Callithrix jacchus: one gene and its partners. The protein of the gene in region 1 interacts with the protein of each later gene in a pairwise test. Links are inferred from orthologs where the notes say so. Each region holds a gene or a part of one and is shown on either strand. Other genes may lie near its edges.

Evidence for each region.
Region 2: the proteins of SH3BP5 (region 1) and TNKS interact in a two-hybrid assay, tested with the Homo sapiens proteins (2 studies listed by BioGRID and IntAct). The link is inferred for Callithrix jacchus from reciprocal best matches to the Homo sapiens genes SH3BP5 and TNKS.
Region 3: the proteins of SH3BP5 (region 1) and SOS1 interact in a two-hybrid assay, tested with the Homo sapiens proteins (2 studies listed by BioGRID and IntAct). The link is inferred for Callithrix jacchus from reciprocal best matches to the Homo sapiens genes SH3BP5 and SOS1.

Annotation. Positions count from the first base shown.
Region 1 is NC_133518.1:54,143,994-54,151,549, forward strand, and holds the start of SH3BP5 (SH3 domain-binding protein 5), read right to left. Parts: upstream 3,786-7,556; 5' UTR 3,612-3,785; coding exon 3,468-3,611; intron 1,806-3,467; coding exon 1,743-1,805; intron 1-1,742. UniProt on the Homo sapiens protein: Functions as a guanine nucleotide exchange factor (GEF) with specificity for RAB11A and RAB25. Inhibits the auto- and transphosphorylation activity of BTK. Plays a negative regulatory role in BTK-related cytoplasmic signaling in B-cells.
Region 2 is NC_133514.1:30,238,497-30,246,052, forward strand, and holds the start of TNKS (poly [ADP-ribose] polymerase tankyrase-1), read left to right. Parts: upstream 1-3,534; 5' UTR 3,535-3,560; coding exon 3,561-4,227; intron 4,228-7,556.
Region 3 is NC_133515.1:75,896,748-75,904,303, reverse strand, and holds the start of SOS1 (son of sevenless homolog 1), read right to left. Parts: upstream 4,902-7,556; 5' UTR 4,466-4,901; coding exon 4,379-4,465; intron 1-4,378.

The DNA of each region.
Region 1 (7,556 bases):
AGGAACCAGAAGAGACCTGGAAAATGCCTGGGAGGAAGCATGGCTGGAGGATGGGAGGCATGGCTCTGATGCATCATAGAACCACGAGATGCTGAGCCTCTGAGTCCTCATCTGGAAAGCAAATAGTCCCTACCCTCCTTGTTCTCCAGGCCAGAACATTCTATGATGACAGTAATTTAATAGAGTGGCAACTGGGCTCTTGAAAGGTGGCTATTGTGACTGAGGAACTGAATTTTAGTCTTACTTCATTTTAATTGACTTCATTAACCAGACGTGGTGGTGCACACCTGTAGTCCCAGCTACTCAGGAAGCTGAGGAATGAGAATCACCTGAGCCCAGGAGGTGGCGGCTGCTGCAATGAGCAGACATCGCACCGCTGCACCCTAGCCTAAACAGAGCAAGACTCTGTCTCAAAAAAATTTTTTTTGCATTAAATTCAAATAGCCACACATTGCACATGGCTACCATATAGGACAGAACAGCTGGTATGACAAAATGGACTGGAATAAAGCGTAAAAAAAACACTCTATAAATGCTAAAGCCCTACAGGAATGATAGAGGTTTTGTTGTTTAATGCATTAGAAATCTGAGCTTCCAAGAGGTTCCAGTTACTCACTTCACAAAGAGACTCAATTCGTAAGTGAAAGAAACGTAAATAAACACTGATTTTACTTTACTTGGGAAGAAAGAGAGCCCGTGCTCTTGTACACCTACGATGGAAATGGAGGTGGTTAACGATAACCCTTCACACAGCTCAGAGCAACAGGCTTTTTAATCCACCTTGCTACATCCTGATTTGGTAACTCCAGGGGCTACGCATGCAGCAGAATCAAGGCTGCCAGTGAATCCTGGCAGATGATATTCCTGTCTCCTGTACCCTCGCTCTCAGAAACCACATGCTTCTTGTCCCTTCTACTGACTTTTGCTATTTCTCCTGCTACAGAAACAGACCTTGCCAACAGCTGCCTGTACTGGGACACTGCATTGGGAGTCCCTTCTGAGCTCTGACAGTCACTCACCCAAATATATACAATGTTCAAATTTGCTGATGGGTGGTAAAAAAAAAACCACCACTACTGGGAAGGGGTGGGGAACCAAAGGGAGGCTGTGAGGAATGCCAACTTGTTTACACTCTGGTTGGAAAACGTACACGAAATTCAAATCGGGTTTTAGTTTCCAACAATTTTTCCCAGCAGGAAAGCCCTTCCCGGTCTAAACAGCTTTTCGTTACCATTATAATTATATTCTATGCACAAGCAGACAATAAAGAAAGGAGCGGGGAAGCAGAAGGGGGAGTTAAACTAGGACAGGAAAGACAAGAAATGGTCTAAGTCAGAGGAAACAACGCAACACTTTCCAGGACAAAGGGTAGGAACCGCCCAGAACATGTAAGAGATTCTGTGAGCTCATTCATTATTCTCCATTAAAGAGTTCAGCTAATTTTCCCCTCTGTCCTTGCAGTCACATTAAAACTCCGGGCTTAAGCATTGTGCAATGCTCTGCACAGACTCAGTTTAGGCCCCATGGAGCTTCCATAATGAAAAACAACATGTGAAATCAGATCCACATGCGTTCCGCCCACAGGTTGAGCTCAGTGGTGTATTTTATTCTGTGAGACAGGGAGCTGTCGCTCAACTCGCAAGGAGGGGAGTCCAGCAATAACCCTCCAGTCAGAACACGAAATTAACCAGCTTTGTGCCGGTGTGACACCACTTCAAGAACAGGAACTCAGCTCTCTGTACCTCAAGTTCAGTCTCCCGTCTGTTGATATCATCCGTGGACTGATTTAACTTCTCCAGTTCTCCCTGGTGAAGAAAAGAGGGAGAAAAAAAGACTTAAGGGATCCATCTTTTGTTTCCAGTATAACTCAGTCCATAACCTGAAAAATTACCCCAGCCCAATTTGCAGGACAAATGAAGAACCAGTACTAATTCTTAAGGCAAACAGCTGAAGCTTGGCTAGAAAAGCAAATGAATGTCAGCATTTCTGAAACCATTTTCTTGACGGTGTCCCTTTTGAAAATGTCTTAAGGGACATTTGGAATTTGAGGTCAAATATTCCAGGTATGTGCCTTCAAGTAAACCCCACCTGTTACAAATGGCTTAATGGCCTAATCAAAACAGTACCATCTGCCTTGAGCAAGAACTTTGCTTAGAAAACAATAAAAGACAATAAGCAAGGCCAAGCCAAAAATATAAATCCAGTGAAATCAAGGGCAGAATTCTGGTATTAACTCATCAGAATTATTTTTCTGTAAAGGGTAAAAATCTTTTGACACTGCCAATTATTCAACCTACTTAGCTGGCTGTTTTAAACTAGCCTTAATTCTCTTCCTTTAAAAAAAAATTTACAAACTGACATTTTGTGAAAAACATCCAACATGAACTTAATTCGTCTTTACTATGCAAACAAAGGATCTTGCTAACATAATTCCACACCAATAACATGCGATTTATTCCAAACCAATTATTTTAATTACAGCATTCCTAATGCAAGGATTTTTTCCCCACCTGATCTTTATGTTGCTAACCTGACAATTCATTTAAACCCCAACCACTGAGTTAAGTGAGCTTGTAAATTGATCTGCGCACCAAAAAGCAATTAAGGATCCAGAAATTACAGAGCATTTTTAAAATCCATTTTTAAAAAATGATTTATTGAAAGGGTTGGGGAAAACGGGTCTTGGAAAGGGATTTGCTCTGCTTTTTGTTTAGGGGTGAAGAGGTTAAACTGTCACTCCTAGATCTCTCTTGGAAATGGAGGCACAGAAAGCCAGCCCAATCCCCTCGCCGCCTCCACGCATCAGCTTTGCGCAGCAGTTGTCCCTGATTTCTGTTCATGCCCAACCTCACAACAAGGGAAAGCAGGGTTTTAAGCAATTTCAGGCCAGACAGAACGTTGCACCGGTGGTGACAATAAGCCGCTGAGTTCGCTAACAATGAATCAGAGAAGGAAAACGGCTCAGGCCGAGCACCTCCGGCAGGTGAGGACGCTGCACCGGGGCACTGGGGCCAGCCCACGCCGCAGGGGCGGGCAACGCCCACCCGCCCACGGTGCCCGCCGCCCACGCAGGCGACCCCTCCTCGCAGAGCGTGGAGGCCGTGCCATCCCCGCGGCGCCGTGGCCGGGCCAGGGGCACCCCGAGGATAGCAGGGCGCCCCCGCCCCCTTTTTCCCTTTGTTGCACAACAGCCCAAACCACTAGGCACTCTGCGGCGACCCCGATCCTGCTAGGGGTCTGCGGGGGGCTGCCCGCAATAGAGTCAGGCCGCATCCACGCGGGCATTGCAGCCTTCATTGTGGAGACGATGAAATGGAGTATACAGACCCTCTCTTGCCACCAGAGCTACGCGGTCGCCAGTCCCCGGACCACAGTCACTGGGGGCTGCGAAGTGGGTGTCCGCTTAGACGCCGACTCCGCAGCATCCCCGGCGAAGCCCGGATGCGGGGCGACTCCGCGCGCCCTACCTGGATCCGGGGGTCCACCTCTTCTTCCTCCTCCAGCCCCTGCTCCATCCCCTCTTCCTCCTCCTCCTCTTCTTCCTCGTCCCGGGCAGGCGGCAGAAGCTCGGCTGGCTCCTCCGAGCGGCTCCGCTTCAGCGCCGCGTCCATGCGGGCAGCCGGCACGCGCGCAGCGCACTGGGTTCCGGAGCGCCCCGGGAATCGCAGCCGCCACAGGCTCGGCTGGAGCCGCCTTGCCACAGCCGGGCACTGTCGGGGAGCCGCGGGAGCCGACACCCGGGAGACGCAGCTCGCCGATGCGGATCGCTCCGGCCGCAGCGGAGCAGAGGAAATGGGCGCGGCCGCCCCCTTTCTGCAGCGGCCGTCAGCGCAGCGCCCGCTCCGCCCCCGTCCCGCCCCGGCCGCGCGTTCCCCGGCCAGTCCCAGCTACCCAGGTCTCCGTCACAAAACCCCAGCTCCCTCCACATCTCCGAGGTGGCAAAATAGGAGAGCACCCACCCCCTTGTCACTTAGCAGCCCGGATATATCTCAACTACGCAACGCAAGCCTCCGGCTTTCGGGAGTCCCCTTCTCCCTCCCTCCCCCGAGGCGCGTTGAGTGTGCGGTGGGAATGTGGGGTGCTTTCACGCTGAAGTCGCTTTCAGAAACCTGCGCTCAGTGACCCTCAACCAGTAAAAAGACTTGCCGAACCCCTGTACTTACCAAACCACATTCCTCCCCTTGGGCAACCCTTGGGAATGGGGCCTCCTCAAAGATTTCCCCAGAAAAGGAAACTAAAATGTGTGCTCACGTAGACGCAGGAGTGCAGAGAGGAGAACCAGCTGCAGTTCCGTGCGCAACTGCATGGCCGAAGGCTGCGGCCCCTCTGGGCGCGCCCCATACCCAAACACAGAGGTGCCGCGGTCCTACCTGAATACCGAGGCAGCATGGAGAATGCATTGAGCTGGGATGCCAGTGGGCTGACACAGCCTTTTTAAGGAGGTGGCAAGTGCAACCGCTGTTGATGGGCACGCTCTGGCCAGGAATTTGTGAATTAGTGAGACTTTCTGCCCACCATCAACGAGTAGGGAGGTCAAGCTTGCCTGGCAGACACAGCACCCGACAAAGCCAAACTGAAGGGGCACGCTTCTGCTTTTATGTCAGGGCCACTGTGATGTCAGGGGAACACGAAGAATGACCTTGGCAAAGCAGGTGAGCACATGGCTGCCAACGTCTCCCTCCCTCCAGAAATGCAGAACGTTCTCATGTTCTCGAGGGAGGCCTGTGGCCCATCCGCTTAAACAAAATTGTCCACCAGTTGTCCAAAATTTGTGGACAATTTTGCTTAAGAAAGGGGCTTCTTTCTGAGAACCTGTCATCAAAGCCACCTTATAACACCTGTGTCTAGTATGACGTGGTGGCTCATATCTGTAATACCAGCTCTTTGAGAGGCCAGGACGCAAGGATCACTTGAGGACAGGAGTTCAAGACCAGCCTGAGCAATACAGCTAGACCCCCCCCCCCCCCCCCGCTTCTCAAAATAAATAAATAAATTTGCTTCTGGTGGTTTTGTCAGAAACTAGGCTAGAGGGTTACTCCTTGGGCAAGGCACCACCCCATACCCCGCTGGCACTATAGTCCATTGTCTCCTGGAGGTAGTGCCATGGTTTGTTTCTAAAAAGGTCAGACCTGTTCATTGCTCTTTAAATCAAGGATGAGTCAGCGTTTGAAACGCCTGTGAGAGGCGTTTCAAAGCTCCTTGCTAAAGTATAGTTGCTTTTGGTTTTCCAATGATAGATGAAGCCAGGGACAAGATAGCCATAGGCGTCACTTTGTGACACATGAGCCACCAGTGTTCCCTGGTGGCTTTGAATTGACCCTCCAACTGGCAGGTACTTCCTAGCTCTGAATAAAGTGAGAGGGTTTGAAATAAAACAGAGAACCGTGGGGTCAGCCCTGACCATGAGAAATGCATCTCAGCTGGCAGCACTCCGTCCTCTCCATTCTCATCAGCTGGCAGCACCCCGTCCTCTCCATTCTAATCAGCTGGCAGCACCCCGTCCTCTCCATTCTCATCAGCTGGCAGCACCCCGTGCTCTCCATTCTCATCAGCTGGTAGCACCCCGTCCTCTCCATTCTCATCAGCAAACTCCGAAGTACATTTCTGCTTAAGCTTAGACCAACATAATGGTTCAAAATGTACCTATGAGACATAGCCCAGCTGCCTAAGAACATCAGTTCAGACTTTCGTCATCTTATTTTTTGGAGATCTGGGCCAGCTATAGTGCTAATCCCAGTAGTGTTTCTAAAGTTAAAATAAGAAAAATAACCAGTCGACCTTCCGTAGCCTCTTGAGTTCCACATATGTAAATTCAACTAACCAAAGACAGAAAATATTTGGGGGAAAAAAACACAACAATTTTTTAAATCTATATTTAAAAATACATGGCCAAGCATGGTGGCTCACACCTGTAATCCTAGCATTTTGAGAGGCTGAGGCAGGAGGATCACTTGAGGCTGGGAGTTCAAGACCAACCTGGGCAACAAAGTGAGACTGCCTCTTTCTCTAGAAAAAAAAAAAATACAGTATGTAACAACTATGTACCTATTTGCATTACATTAGGTATTGCAGGTAAGAAATCTAGAGATGATTTAAAGTATACAGAAGGAGCTGCCCGTGGTGGCTCATACCTGTAATCTCAACACTTTGGGAAGCCAAGGCATGTGGGTTGCTTGAGCTCAGGAGTTCAAGACCAGCCTGGGCAACATGGGGAAACACTAGCTCTGCAGAAACTACTGAAAATTAGCCAAATGTGGTGGCTCATGCCTGTAGTCCCAGCTATTTGGGAGACTGAAATCGGAAGACTGCTTGAGCCCAGGAGGCAGAGGTTGCAGTGAGCTGAGATTGCACCACTGCCCTCCAGCTTGGGTGACAGCAAGACCAGTCTCAAAATAAATAAATATATAAATAATAACAAAGTATACAGAAGGGGACAGACATGGTGGCTGATGCCTGTAATCTGTCTTTTGGGAGGCCAAGGCAGAAGGGAGGATTGCTTGAGGCCAGGAGTTTGAGACCAGCATGGGCAACAAAGCAAGACCTTTTAAATTTTGTAATTTAAAATAAAATTTATTTATTTATTTGTAAATAAAATTTTTTTTAATTAGCAGGGCATGGTAGCACATGCCTGTAGTCCCAGCTACTCTAGAGGCTGAGGTAGATCACTTGAGCCCTGGAAGTCAAGGCTGCAGTGACCCTGATCATGCCACTGCACTCCAGCCTGGATGATAGAGCAAGACCCTATCTCAAAAAAAACACTTTTCTAATGAAAAAAAAAGTATACAGGAGGCTGTATACAGGTTATATGTAAACACTGCCATTTTCTACCAGGGACATGAGCATCTCAGATTTTAGCATTACAGGGGTCCAGAAACCAATCCCCCTGGGATATCAAGGACAACTGCATATATTCCCTACTGGCACATATATAATGCACGTAAGTGCACATCGAAAGGCCTGGAAGGATTTACACCCAGTGAAGAGTGGCTACCTCTGGGGAAAAGGGAGAAGGGAGTGGCCTAGGATTGGCTGGGATGGGGGTAGGGGATCAAAGAAAACTTAGTTTCTTGGGAATGTTTGTATTTTTCACAAGGAGAATATGTTTATGATTATTTCGTGGAATTTAAAGATAAATATAAAATAATACATACGGTTGGGCACGGTGGCTCATGCCTGTAATCCCAGCTACTTGGGAGGCTGAGGCAGGAGAATCGCCTAAACCTGGGAGGCAGAGGTTGCAGTGAGCTGAGATACCACCATTGCTCTCCAGCCTGGATGACAAGAGTGAAACTCTGTCTCCAAAAAAAAAAGAAAAAAAAAAGAAATGAGAAAGCAAAAACCACACATACTTTTGGGGGAAGAGCACTCCAGAGACTGAAGCAGCATTTGCAAAGGTCCTGAGCAGGGAATATGCCTTGGATGTTGGTGAAAAAGCAAAGAGATCCATGTGTGTAGGGCAGAGACAGCCAGTGAGAGAGGGAGGGAGATGAAATCAGAGATGAGCATGTGGGTAGACCACATAGATGCTTTAGGTCACGGTAAAGAGTTTGGATTTT
Region 2 (7,556 bases), on another chromosome or scaffold:
TACTGTAATTTTCCTGTCTTGCAATAAGTTGTTTTGCCTTTTTTTAAAGTAAAGCGTTTTCTGATACAATGTTTTTAGTGTGATGCAGCTGTTGGCATTGTTGCCCACCTGTAGTTTTATTTAAAAAAAAAAAACATATATATATATATATATATATACACATCTCCACCTGGGTTTCTGGATGGAACTTCAACTAAGAGAATGCAACACTTTTAAACACTTTTATAGAGAAATACGAGCCCTTGGCACCATAGTCGTTTCTGACATAAAAATAACTTATTATGTTTTGGTAAGACCAAAATGAGGAAATGACACTGCCTCAGCCAAACCACAGCTCTGGCTTGTACTCGTGGATCTGCAGAGGTGGCAGTGCAGAGGGCATAGAAGAATAACTAGACTTAGTAGAAATACTACCAGAATACCAAATACTGTGGAAGATCAATGGGAAGTATACGGATGGAATGACATACCAATTCTAATTGAAATATGGAACTTGTTCAAGTTCATCACTGTGTAATTTTCAGAGCATCCATGTGACCCCCAGAGGGAAAAAAAGCAAACATGAGAACACAGTCCAAAACATGGGTGTCCTTTAAGTTGGTGGCTTTTCTTTTGTGTCAACAGTACAGCGTGAGAGTGCTGTGTGCTCCCATTTTTGTAGTACTTGGGTATACTTTGCGCGCACGCGCGTGTGTGTGTGTGTGTGTGTGTACACAGGGTCTCACTTTGTTGTCCAGGCTGATCTTGGTTTCCTGGGATCAAGCAATCTCCTGCCTTAGCTTCCCAAAATGCTAGGATTTTAAGTGTGAGCCACTGTACTCGGCCAACATATGATTTTTGTGAAAACACTTTTGAAAATAAGATGCTACACAACTGTGATCAACAATAGTTTGGAGATAGGTTTTATAAAGAATCCTGAATTATCTTAAATCTATGTTACATTGCTTTAGATTCCTGTTATGTGCAAAATGATGGATATTTATTCCAAGCCCCTATCTTTGTCACAGAGGAAGTTGAGAGGGGAACGCTATCAATAGTGGCTGTGAGTTCGTGTCAACACTTTATGCATGCCATGGAAGAGAGTGGATCTAACATTCAGAGTGCTTATAAAACACCTAGGCTTTTAATCTTCCTGACAGTGCTACAGTAAAATCAAAATTTTAGTCTGAGTGAGCTGGAGCATGTCTATCAAGATTAGCCAACTAGTAACCATCAGAGATGTGACTTTCAAGCCCAGGTTTCTTCCATCCCAAGCTTTGCTCTTTCCACTATGATAATAGTGCATTCCTCATGGAATTGTGTTTAGCCACAGAAGATTAGGTAATGGCATCTGTCCTTCCATGTTTAGAGCTAAACTTTAGTAAGTATAAACTTAAACTTTACAAATACTTAATGTTAAGTACTTTTACTACTTTCTACTGGAGGGGAAAAAAGCAATTTTCAATTGATTGACTGCATTTCCAGACATGGTTTTCCAGCATAGTTTCAGTCAATTTAGTTTTTAAAAATCTCTATCCAGCAGAGACTTCCTAATTATTATTATATCGTACTTCTTTCTATGAGTAACTGGCCATTGGGAGACCAAATATTTCTTATGCTTCCCATTCCAGGAGGCCATTATCAAGGGGACATATGGTTTGTTATGAACATCTAACGTATCATGTTGGTCCACCCCTACTTCTCAATGGTACTCTGCTCTACATCAAGGAGTTAAGATTAAAAACCAGAAGAATAAAGAATGTTGTGGACTGATTTTAGTTTCACTGATGTGAGTTTGCCCATCCAGCCACACTATTTGGCAGGTGTCTACTGTGAACAGTGGCACAATTTCATCAGACAGATGGATAATGTTAAGAATTATAATCTGTAACCCTAGATTAGATGAAAATAAATGCCACTTGTAACACCAATTATGTTCCTGACCTTATTGTATTTAGTAATTCCAAATAAACTCATCTATTTATTTAAATGGGAATATTAACAACACACAAATCACATTTAACGATGAACACATGATAAAATTTATCACCTGCTTTAATATTCTACTTGACTCATCTAAGTCTTATTTCTCTTAGGTCATGGAATTTCCATCTGTGTTCACTCTATTGGACTAATGATGTTTGTGTATACTTCTACAATGCCTGCTTTACTATTGAACAGTAGATATGAAATGGAGTCCTCACTGCGATTATCTCATTCATTGATATATCTTTTGATGGCCAAAAAAAAAAAAAAAAAAAAAAAAAAGTATACATAGGTAGGGGAAAGACAGAAAAAACAGTTGCTGAAAAATGACACCTGATAGTGAGTGATGGACAGCAATCAGGATGTTTTGTTTTGTTGTTTTTGTGACAGGGTCTCTGTCCTCTGTCACCCAGGCTGGAGTGCAGTGATGTGACCTCGGGTCACTGCAACCTCTGCCTCCTGGGCTCAAGTGACCCTCTCAACACAGAGTTCCAAGTAGCTGGGACTCTACAAATGTACCACTTTGCACAGCTAATTTGTGTGTTTTTTGTAGAGATGGAGTTTCGTCATCATGGCCAGGCTGGTCTCAAACTCCTAAGCTCAAGTGATCTTCCCGCTTCAGCCTCCCAAAGAGCTAGGATTACAGGCATGAGCCACCATGACCAGCCTAACAATCAGGTTTCTATCTCCTTGGGATGTGAGAGAGGCTAAGTAAGCTAAACCAAAATTCAAAAGAAAGAATATAATTAGTTAACCTTAGGGTGAAAAATAAAATTTCAGAGATAACAGAATAGGAAAAAAAAAATCATAATTTTAATAGTTCACACTTATTGGACTATTGTTATTTCAATTTTAAAGAGAGAAACAGGTATAGAGTGATGACAGAACTAGCTCAGATATATACAACAAATGGCAGAGCTGGAATGCCAATCCTAGCCATCTGAACCAGTATTTCAAAAAGAGGAATTAAAGAACATAGGGTGAGAAACATTATAGGGAGGGGACAAGAGCTCAAGGGGACACCTGGAAAAGAAAGGCTGCAATCTAAAAACTTACCAACGGGCTAATTATAGTTGTGTTTTACTGGCAGAGCGCTTTGTCTATGTTACCTCTTTTAATCCCGATAATAATTCTGTGAGGTTGGTACTATTAGTTCCAGTTTTCAGACGAGGATGCTTGATAGATGATAATCGACACATTCTCGGCTTGCTCTGAGCTGCATCTCAACAGCTAGCTCTGGAGCGAGCAAAGCGAGACTGAGGTAGACTTCGCAACAGAGCGGAGCAGGGCTAGAAAAGCCGACTGAAAGTGAGAAATGCAGGAATTTTTTCCCATGTAGGCAGAAGCTGGTTCTAGTATTCAAATCTCTCCATCTGGCCCGCCATCACGTCACAAAGCCCGCTTCACAGTGACAAAACCCCGCCCCGCTCCCGTGGCTGTTCTCTGAGCTCCCAATACTTCCCTCCTTCTCTTTGGCCCCGCCTACCCCGCCTAGCATCATTTCCTGTGCGCTGGATGCTGATTGGTCCGGCAGTCGGAAGTGAGGGCGGGCGGTGGGGCCGTTGCCGCAGTGACAGTGCTAGGGGAGTCCGAAGATGGCGGCGTCGCGTCGCTCTCAGCATCATCACCACCATCATCAACAACAGCTCCAGCCCGCCCCAGGGGCTTCAGCGCCGCCGCCGCCACCTCCTCCCCCACTCAGTCCTGGCCTGGCCCCGGGGACCACCCCAGCCTCCCCCACGGCCGGCGGCCTGGCCCCCTTCGCCTCCCCGCGGCACGGCCTAGCGCTGCCGGAGGGGGATGGCAGTCGGGATCCGCCCGACAGGCCCCGATCCCCGGACCCGGTTGACAGTAGCAGCTGTTGCACTACCACCAGCACAATCTGTACCGTCGCCGCCGCTCCCGTGGTCCCAGCGGTTTCTGCTTCATCTGCCGTTGGGGTCGCTCCCAACCCAGCTGGCAGTAACAATTCACCGTCGTCCTCTTCTTCCCCGACTTCATCCTCATCTTCCTCTCCATCCTCCCCTGGATCGAGCTTGGCGGAGAGCCCGGAGGCGGCCGGCGTTAGCAGCACAGCACCATTGGGGCCTGGGGCAGCGGGACCTGGGACAGGGGTCCCAGCAGTGAGCGGGGCCCTACGGGAACTGCTGGAGGCCTGTCGCAATGGGGACGTGTCCCGGGTAAAGAGGCTGGTGGACGCGGCAAACGTAAATGCAAAGGACATGGCCGGCCGGAAGTCTTCTCCCCTGCACTTCGCTGCAGGTCAGAGACTTTTGAATTGTTTATTACGGGTTTTGGGTTTGGGTGCTGGGTCCGGCTGGGACAGGAAAACAGGTTATCGTGATGGGACAAAGTGGGGGCGTGGTCATGGTTCTTCAACATCTCACCAGAAGACTAGAGGTTCCTTTCTTTTGATGGTGCCTGGGTGATGGGGGGCGTGGTTGGGGGGATATGTGAATCCAAGGAATTCTTCAGCGTTTGCACAGTGACACTTGTACTCATTACAAAACTCACTGTAGTTGATAGTCTTTGTATATGAGTATGTTTACACTTTAGTTTTTAGTGTGCAGGAATAAAGTTAGATTTGGACAGCTTTAGAGTGGTTTTGTTGTTTGTGTGAAAGTTTGTTTTTACAAAGGTATGTCTCTTGAGGACACTCCAGATCAAAAGAGGTTGAATACAACTCAACAAGTGTTTGAGGATCTGTTGCAGTCTTAGTAACCCAATGAAAGACGTAAATGAAGTTTTTGAAAGTTTCCCTTTTTATAAAGGAGTTTACAGTCTAGATGGGGAGGCCAAAATATGTCAATGTGAAACAACTGGAGAAGAATATTTGGATGTGTTATATGATGATGGAAGAGATACAGGCTTTGATGTGACTACTGTTTGTTGTCTAACACCGTTTACCTTGTGTCCGTTGCCTCAGTTTTCTGAAATCATAAAATGATGTTTTACGAGCATTTAGTGAGAAGTATCTGGCACAAAGTTCTCCCTCAAAAAGTGTGAATTTCTTAAACTCTGGACCCCATACTTGTCTTTTTTTTCTTTCTTTTTTTTTTTTGCAAGTAATTGATTTTCTCTTAAAGACACCTAACATATGTTTATAAGATAAAACTGTAAAATAAAAAGAAAGGACCACAGTCTTACTGCCTAGATACCCATTGTTATTTTAAAAATGTAGGTTATGTTATATACATTAGAAACATTATATTAGAAATGTATACATTATACATTACACAATTCAAATAAGACAGAAAAATACAAAGTATCACACACTCACAAACATCAAAGATAATGCACCAAAGATAACTTGTTCTTTTCTATATATCTAATATTATAACTCCTTCAGTTTGTTCTGTTAGTAGTAAAACAGGTGTTGACTCACTGTAGTATTATTTAATTTATTTTAACCGCAACTTGGGAGATATTGTTAACCATTTACAAGATGACAAAAGTGAAGCATAGATTGCTTAAATAAGTCCAAATTCACTCAGGAAATGGTTGAAATTGAGGCAGTTTGATTTTAGAGCTTGTGAAATCAAACTTAAACTGTCAGAACCGTGGACTAAGGTCACTTTTCATTTTTGGGAGTAATTGCAGTGCAGAGTTCCTGTTTTGGGAGAAGTAGTAATGGGAGGGCTTACATGCAAGAGAGTAGCTTTCACATGTTTTTTATTGTAGCCCATACTTAGAAATACATTTTACATGGTCACTTATGCAACTGAATCAAAAGTTTCAGGAGACAGTACTTTCCCTTAGTCTATGTGTTGTCCTCTGATATTTTATATCTTATTCCATTTCATTTTTAGCAAATGCTGTTTGTGATCCATTAATGGGTCATGACCAGTGGTATGAGAAACACTTAAAGGAAATCTTTATTAGGTCACTGGATTCATTCTTGATATACAAACACTACTATTAGGGATGCAGTGAATTGAATCATAAACAGACTTTTGTCTATTTGTTTGCTCAAGGGTTTTGCTTGTTTTAGATGAAATAGCATTTCTTTTTCTTTAGGCTAAATGAAAGGCCTGAGTCTAATTTTATAAATCAACAGAGGTGTCTACTTTTCCATACTTTATCCTAAGTTTAACTATTTTAACAAATTCTTTTACAAATCATGTAATTTCTCACCATACCACTTTATAAGTAATCACCAACCATTGATAGTTATATTTATGCATATTAATGTATTTAAGATAAGTCACACAAAATAGTGCTTGTCTCCCAAAACACGAGTCTTCTATTTGCCATAATAGTTATCAGAGTTTTATGCATATCCAGATAAGCTAGAACATAAACAATAAATCAGTACTGTAATTATGTTGTAGTTATGAGGACCTAACCTTGAATTGGCTTTTTTAGAAAATTTTTAGCTCAGTTGTGGAAAACACAATAATAAAATTCTTGATGATATGAAAACATCCTGTATTCGGTTTGCACACTTCCATGTTTGAATGCATGACATTAAAGTTTTATTAAACTGTAGTCTTGTTTATCATGTATAGGCTGAGAAACAAAAAAATTACCAGTTGTCTGGTTATTATGATAGTTATTGAATTGCCATGGAATAACTGTTTTAAAGATGAGAAATTGGTACAATTGGATGAAAAAATTTAAAAATTACAGTATTTGTTCCAGAAATATTTTAGTGTACTTAGATGATCAGGTGTTAAATACTGATACAATTGTATCATGGCAAACAGTTCTTAACCCTTATGGAACTTACCATCTAGTGGGGAAGCATAAACAACAACAGCAAAAGCCTACCAAGTATCTAGTGTCTAGTCTAGAGTGATAGGAAACCTACATTATATCTCTATCCCAGTATGTAATAGGAGCTCATATCCTTATTTTAGAGAAGTTAAGGAAGTCTTTCTAGGTAGATTTTTTTAAACCAGGAATTTAAAGAGTGAGCCCAAGCTAGCCAAGCAAAGGTTGGAAGGGAGGATGTTAACTAATGCTTTTATTTGTGTTTAAAAATGGGTTTACAGTTCTATAGAATGAAATGAAACAATTTTTTTTTTTCTTTCCAACTTTTAGGTTCAGGGGTTACATGTGCAGGTTTGTAACATGGGTAAATTGTGTGTCGTGCTGGGTTTGGTATACAGATTATGTCATCACCTAGGTAATGAACATAGTACCAAATAGGTAGTTTTTTGACTTTCACCCTCCTCCCACCCTCTACCCTCCAGCCTCAAGTAAGTCTCAGTGTGTCTTAGTCCTTTGTCTGTGTCCATGTGTACTTAAGGTTTAGCTCCCACTTATTTAAGTGAGCACATGTGGTATTTGGAAATCACTTTTAAACATCTCAGAAGTGGTATGAAACCATGTTTAAATCCTTATCACTTTATTTATATTATCTTAAGAATAACCATATTATTTCCAGCAGTAGAATTAAGAATCCTTTCTATCCTGTCTTGGATTTTGATAATTTGTTTAGAATATGGTTTACAAACTGTGTTAATAATAGAATCATCTTATCTGCAATTAAGACAAAATCTTGTTTCCATTTTATTTTATTTTATTTTATTTTTGAAACAGAATCTCGCTCTGTCGCCAGGCACCAGGCTGGAGTGCAGTGGCTCCAT
Region 3 (7,556 bases), on another chromosome or scaffold:
TTTTTAAGTTTTTTGTAGAGACAGGGTTTCATTATGTTGCCTAGGCTAGTCTGGAATTCCTGGGCTCAAGCAGTCCTCCCACCTTGGCCTCCCAAAGTGCTGGGATTACAGCCGTGAGCCACCACACCCAGCCAGTTTGTTCCTTTATATTGGAGTAGTATTCCACTGTTTGGCTTTATCGCAATTAGCTTATTCATTCACCTGTTGATGGACATCAGATTGTTTCTAGTTTTTGACTGAACAGAGCTGCCATGAACAGTCATGTATAAGTCTTAGTACAGATACAGGCTTCATTTATACTTATGGCTTTAATTACACACCTAGAATTTCTGAATCTGCTTCATCAGACACCAACAATGAACAGCCACTTGGAGAAGTTCACTTGAATAACCCAAAATAACCTTTAAGTCAACATATCCAAAAATCATCTTATTATGCCATTCCTCTCTCCATCCTAAAAGCTTCTCCTATATTCTCTATCCTGACTAAAGGCATTCAAGTCAGAAACAAGACTATTACTGTTCCATTACCATTCCCCAAATCACTCAGTGAGTTACTAGGCCTGTCAATTTTGCCTTGTAAACATCTTTAAAATAAAATCCATATCCACATTTCTGTCCTAATTCAAATGCATCCTTAATTCAAATGTATATTGTCTCTTGACTGGACTATTAAACTAGGCTTCTAACTATTCTCCTCACTTTGTGTCTCATTCTTCTCCAAACCATTTTCCATTCTATGGCCAAAGTGAATTTTCTAAAATTCAAATGTGCTGTTACTCCCCTACTTAAAACTTACTGGCTGGGTACAGTGGCTCACCCTGTAATCCCAGCACTTTGGGAAGCTGAGGCAGGCAGATGGCTTGAGCCCAGGAGGTCAAGACCAGCCTCGGCAACACGGCAAAACCCCATCTTCACAAAAAAATACAAAAATTAGCCAGGTGTGGCAGTGTGTGCCTATAATCTCAGCTACTCAGGAGGCTGAGGTGGGAGGATCACTTAAGCTGGGGAGGTAGAGGTTGAAGTAAGCCAAGATCGCACCACTGCACTCCAGCCTGGTGAGACCCTGTCTCAAAACAAACAAATAAAACAAACCAAACAAACAAAAGAAACCTTACTGATGGCTTCCAACTTCACAAGATAAAATTCAAATTCCTTAGCTTAACATATATAAAAACTGTCCACAAACCAGTTGTCTCTCCAGACATGCCCTGCTACTTCCCATCATGTTCTTATTTAGTCTTTCCTGATTATGTCATTTACCTTTTTAACTTGAGTGTCAAGGGCAATACCTGATCTATAGTAGGCATGATATATTTGTGCAATAGATAAGATAGAACTTAGATTCACAGATGCAGTGAAATAGATAACAGTGGGACATTCCATCCATATTGAGCAAAAGCAGCAGTCCAGTCTGGCTAAAGAATAAAGAAGATAAAAGATTATGGTAGACAATCCAGTCAGAAAAGCAGGATAAACCAGAAATCAATCGCTGTCAATTCCGTGATAAAAAGTATGCATTTTAGCATAGGCCAAATTCCAAAGACATCAACAGTTCTTCCAAGTGTGACATGTTAAGAGGTAGCCAAAAACTCGTGAGATTTGAGAAACAGACGGTGAGGTGAGGGGTAGTGAATTCAATTAAGAAATTATCACAGTAGTCTGAGAAAGGAGACTTAGAGAAGTTGGAGGAGGGAACAGACTAGAAGAATATGTTAAAAGGAATTGAACATAAAGGCTCTACCTGAGTGTGGGCAGTAATACAGAGAAGCCAGAGATGATTCTAACATTTCAAACCAGTCAAATGCAGTAATAAAGCCATTAAGAAAAACTTAAATGGTAGGTGGAGGACAGAAGTGATAGTTTTAGTTTGTATATCCCCTCACCTATTTATTCAAATTGAGTGGCCACTAGGTATCTAGCACTGTACGCATGGGGAATAAAATGAGGGTAAGATACTATCCCTGTTCTCAAACAGCATCCAATCTAGTTATAGACAAGTAAATAGGAACTTAAAACTCACACAGCTAGGATGGGGCGCGAAAAGAAAACAAAGGAGTAATATCCAACTCAGCCCTGATGTGATAGTCCAGGTTGAGTAAGTCTAGAAGGATGAGTAGTGTTGGATCAGGCAAAGAAAGGTGAGGGGACTAGCATGTCCAAAGAGCCTCAGGTAAGAGTAAGAGAGCACAAGTTGGATGCATCTATAAATAATTCAATAGTGAATCAAAAGAAATCAAGATATGGAGATATCCACATGAAATGTCCAGCAGGCAGGTAAAAATGTAGGTTTGGAGCTACGGACAACATATCCAGATATGAAATACACTGTATTTTCAATCTTGTCTTAGAATCATAGTTATTGGCTATTTAAGAATTGGAAGAACCTTACACATTAGCTAGATTATGTATACTTCCACCTTCTTCTATCACTTACTGCAAAAGTATCTCTACCTTAAATTCAAAAGTTGGTTTACGTAAATAAACAAAGAGGACAAGTGGGGGTTGTGGTAAGGTGGAGATACATGCCTTGTCTAAAGAGGACAACCATTTACTCACCTCCAGCAGTTTAGTGCCTTGCTGGAATACAGGCCCTAACTAGCAAGAACTTCCTATTCTTCAAGAAAAGCTGAAAATTCAGATTTTATGTAATATCTCCCATTTTCAAATGCCAGCAACTAATTACATTTAAAAATAAAACAACACTGTGCCAGCCAAACAAAATGCTTCTAGGGACAGATTTCAGCAAGGGCCACCAGCATGGCAGAATTAAACAAGGTCTGTCAACTCCTACAGTATTCTTCCACTACTTCAAAAGATCCTAAGCTGATAGCTTGGTGATTCCCCCGGGATAGGAGCTGTTTTTGCCTCTAAGCAAAATGGCCCCTATTTGGCAATGCTTTATGAGTTCCTTTACAGGTTTTTAAACAATTTCCCTGTCTTCCCTTACCCTACCTGGACATCAGCTTCTGGCAGCACAGAGACCTCCTAAACCCCTTCCATTACACGCTAAGAAGTCAAACTTGCAGGTAAAGCAAAAGTAAGTAGTGAGAACCTGACGGGATTTCTAAGGATTAAAGTACATAAGACATATGGCGGCTGGGTGCAGTGGCTCACGCCTGTAATCCTAGCACTTTGGGAGGCCGAGGTGGGTGGATCACCTGAGGTCAGAAGTTCAAGACCAGCCTGGCCATCATGGTGAAACCCCATCTTATTTAAAAAAGAAAAGAAAAGGATATATGGCATCTTTTTGGTTTTCTTTAAAAAAAAAAAAAAGAAAAATCACATAGGTGTTCGTGACTAGTCAGACACCTGAAGGGGAAAATGTCAGTAACTTAAGTCAGAAATACATAAGCAAATTCTCCTAACAAACCAAATAGTTTCCACTGTAAGATAGCAAGAGGGACAAGAGAACAGGGCAAAGGGGAAAGTAAAAGTTACTGGCCTTTAAGCACTATCAGACACCTTTTAATGCTTAGCATAAAAGGTACAACATAATCTCCATTCTTAGTAGAAGCAAAACTATATGTTAACTAATTAACATGAAAGAGTCTTCGAGCAGCAAGAAACAGATTTAGAAACACTCTTAGATGAGTAAAGCAATCTTTGTAGAAAAGGTAAATGAAGAAAAGGAAACAAAAATAGTCTAGTACACTGTTGCTCTAGAAGCTTTAAAAATGTAACATTTCCTAATTATACTAAAACATTTAAAAACACAGCAAACTTAAACATACAAAGACTAAAAATTCTTAACAAGCCAAATGACAGCACCAAGAATCTCGAATGCCGCAAAAACAAAACAAAACCCCTGAAATTGGTAGCATGTGCACCAGCCCCTGTTAATCCGAGGAGCAGGGGAGATCAGGAGAACAGAGAGTGATTACTGAGGACGAGCGGAGCAGGCCACGCTCCTGCTGGCAGGCGAGCTCGCAATTCCTTAGAGCAAGCGTTACGGCCAGGGCATTCTCAAGCCACTAAAACGAGCATACTGGACACCTAAAACATGAGGCTGACAACAGCTCCGGGCTAAGACCGAGAAGGCGGAAAAGTGGCCTGCTTTGACCTCCACTGAAAACTGAGGCTTCTCCAACCGTTGTCTCGGAATCAAAGGGCAAAGCATTCACCTCTCGGGGTTGGATTATTCGGAGCAACTGCCCGCGGCTCCCCGCGGCCTTCCCACACTACGGGTGGATGTCAACACTGAGAGCCAGCCGTGTGGGGGACCTCCCCGTGTGCGCCGTCCTTTCGGAGACGCGGCGAGACAGGGAAGAAAGACGGCCCTGCGCGCGCGCCCCGCCTCCCCAGCCCTTCCCCTGCGCCTGCTCGGCGCCCGCGCTGGGGGGCTGCGGCCGGGAAGCGGGGTCCGGCGTGCTCCTCACCTTTTTCAGGGCAGGCACCAGCAGTCCTCGCCACTTGGGCGCGTTCTCTTCGCTGAAAAACTCGTAGGGCAGCTGCTGCGCCTGCATGGTGCCCCCAGGGCGCCTCTGGGCGGGGAGAGGGGCGGCGGCGGCCCGGCCGGGGAGCCGCGAGAGGGCGAGCTCGCTGCGCGGAATAGGGCCGCGGCCCCACCGGACGGCCCGGCCCCCTCCGGGCGCCGCGCAGCCGGGCTAGCCCTGGCGAGGGGGCTGAAGGGCGAGGCCCACGCCCAGCCACCCACCCGACACGGGTACTAGCCGTGGAGAACGAATGCGACCCGGAGGCGGCGGCATCCCGCACCACCGCCCCGGGGCCAGGCCCCCCCGCCCCTCCCTGGCCCGCCGGCGCCGCCCCGGGCGGCCCGCTACACCGCCGCCGCCTGCCGGGGCTGCACTCCCGGGTCCGGCCTGGCCCCGCGGCAGAGCTGGCGGCTGGGGGAGGACGTGTGGAGGGACGCTCTGGCCGCGGCGCCCGCTCCGCGCAGTTGAGACTCCGAAACGCAAGAGCCCTCGGGTGGGGCGGAGCTGGGGGAGGGGGTTTCGCGGGGAAGGGGAAGGACCCGAGGTCGTTGTTGGGGAATCTGGCTGCCCTGAGGTGCCGCCGCTGCCGCCGCCGGTGTAGCGCTGGAGCTTCCTACTAGCAAACTGAACCTGCGCGCTACTGAGCATGCGCTGCCGGGCTGGGCTGGTTCGCTCCGGGTTTTCCGGCTCCCGGTGAAGGAGGAGGGAAGCTGGGGGCGGGGGGAGTGGGGAAGGGAGGCAGGGCGCCTGACCGGGCTGTGGTTGCGCTCCTGGGGACTCCTGAGGAGGGGCGAAAGGGCCCGAGAAATCGAACCCTGGCAAAGTGGGGCCTGCAGAGGGGGTAAGAACTACGGTAAAGAAGCCCCCACTGTGTGGTCTAGCCGTGAGGGCTCCTACCCCTCTCTGAGTCCCTGGGCCTTTCGTTTCGGAAAGGGGCGTGTGTACTTTGTTCCCGAACACAAAGATAAGGACTGCCCAGCACGCAATGTATAGTAAACAGACCGGACAAAATATACAGGTGCTCTGTCTCGAAACCTACTGCTAAGTATCTGCTGGGCAATAGAAGTGATCGCAGTGTTTTTAACTGGTCTTTCCACGTCATCAAGAATAAAATGTGTACATGTAGTATTGATTTTCTGTGTGTGTTAGATTGCATTTGTTCATCTTTTCAACCCTCTCCAAATATGAATTCCAATAAGCACTTTCCTCCAATGGATACTGAGACCTCTTCTAAAGCTCCCAGAACACTGCACTTATTCCTCTCTCAGGGCATTTGGTCTATAGTGTTTTGTATCTTTTGTGGTTCTTTCAACTACATAATAAACTGGAAGGCAGATTTTTTTCACCAGGTCCTCCACACAGAACAGGCACTCAGTGAAAGTGGAATGCTAAAGGACCGGTATATATAAACTGTCCCTCCAGGCCACTGTTTATAATAGTGGCACTTTGTGGCAGACACCTCATGGTTTATCATTAATGATCACTTCTGGAGTATCATCTGATTTAATCCCCATAGCAACCCTATTATTTTCATTTCACCGATAAGAATGCAGTTTAGAGGAACTAGCTTGGGTTGAAGCTGACATTGTGTCCTGCTATTCCTAAGAACAACAGCCAGGATCACGTAGATGAGAAATGTTCAGTGGTTCATAATCTTTACAGGACCTCTGTGAAAATCTGAAAAAGAAAAAAAAAAAAGAAAGTCTTCAGTTATTTCCTTTAAAAATATACAGGCCAGTGGGCAAGGTGGTTCATGCCTTATAATGCCAGCACTTTGGGAGGACAGGGTAGGTGTATCACCTGAGGTCAGGAGTTCGAAACCAGCCTGGCCAACATGGTGAAACCTTGTCTTTGCTAAAAATAGAAAAATTAACTGGGCATGGTGGTGAGCACCTGTAATCCCACCTACTTGGGAGGCTGAGGCAGGAGAATCCCTTGAACCCAGGAGGCAGAGGTGGCAGTGAGCTGCGATTGTGCCACTGCACTCCAGCCTGAGCAACAAAATGAGACTCCATCTCAAAACACGCACACACACACACACACACCAGCCAGGCGCAGTGGCTCACACCTGTAATCCCAACACTTTGGAAGACTGAGGGGTTTGAGCCCAAGAGTTCGTGACCAGGCTAGCAAGACCCATCTCTACTTTTTTACTTTAGAAATGAAAACATACATACATGATTTACATTTGAAAAACTCTTCACTTTCAAAGCGTTTGGAATGATGTTCTGAAATCCATCCATAAATCCTTTGGATAAGAAGATGTAGAGAAACTCCAGCTTGGAGAGGAGCTGGGGGCATGAGAAGGGGTCTCAGAAGAATATATTAGCTCTCTTCAAATATTTAAAGGCTTGTGATTTGGGGGAAAAGATTGGTTTGTATGGTTCCAAATGAACCAAGATCAAGCCCGTACCACAAACTATTGCTTGGCCTCCCATTGCTCTTAGAATACATTTTGGGCCCGGCGCGGTGGCTCAAGCCTGTAATCCCAGCACTTTGGGAGGCCGAGGCGGGTGGATCACGAGGTCAAGAGATCGAGACCATCCTGGTCAACATGGTGAAACCCCGTCTCTACTAAAGATACAAAAAATTAGCTGGGCATGGTGGCGCATGCCTGTAGTCCCAGCTACTGGGGAGGCTGAGGCAGGAGAATTGCCTGAGCCCAGGAGGCGGAGGTTGCGGTGAGCCGAGATTGCGCCATTGCACTCCAGCCTGGGTAACAAGGGTGAAACTCCGTCTCAAAAAAAAAAAAAAAAAGAATACATTTCAAACTTCTTCCGTACACCACAAAGGCATGCATCTGGCTCCTGCTCACGTTCAACGTTTTTTCACCATTCACAGCCTTGCTTCACCACACTCCAGTCACACTGGCCTTCTATCTATTCCTAGAAAACAACAACCTGCCTCAAGAACATTGTTCTTCTCTCAGCCCAGAACTCCTAACTGTTCACTTGGATGGTTATAAACATCACAACCTCCCAGAGGCCTTCTCCTATCACTCCAAGTAATTCTCACCTGTGTATTTCTACTGTATGTCCTTTTTATTTCCTGCTAGCACTAAATCAAATCAGGCCTTTGTTTTTGGTTGTTGGTTTCCCTTTTGCCTCCAAATAGAATATAA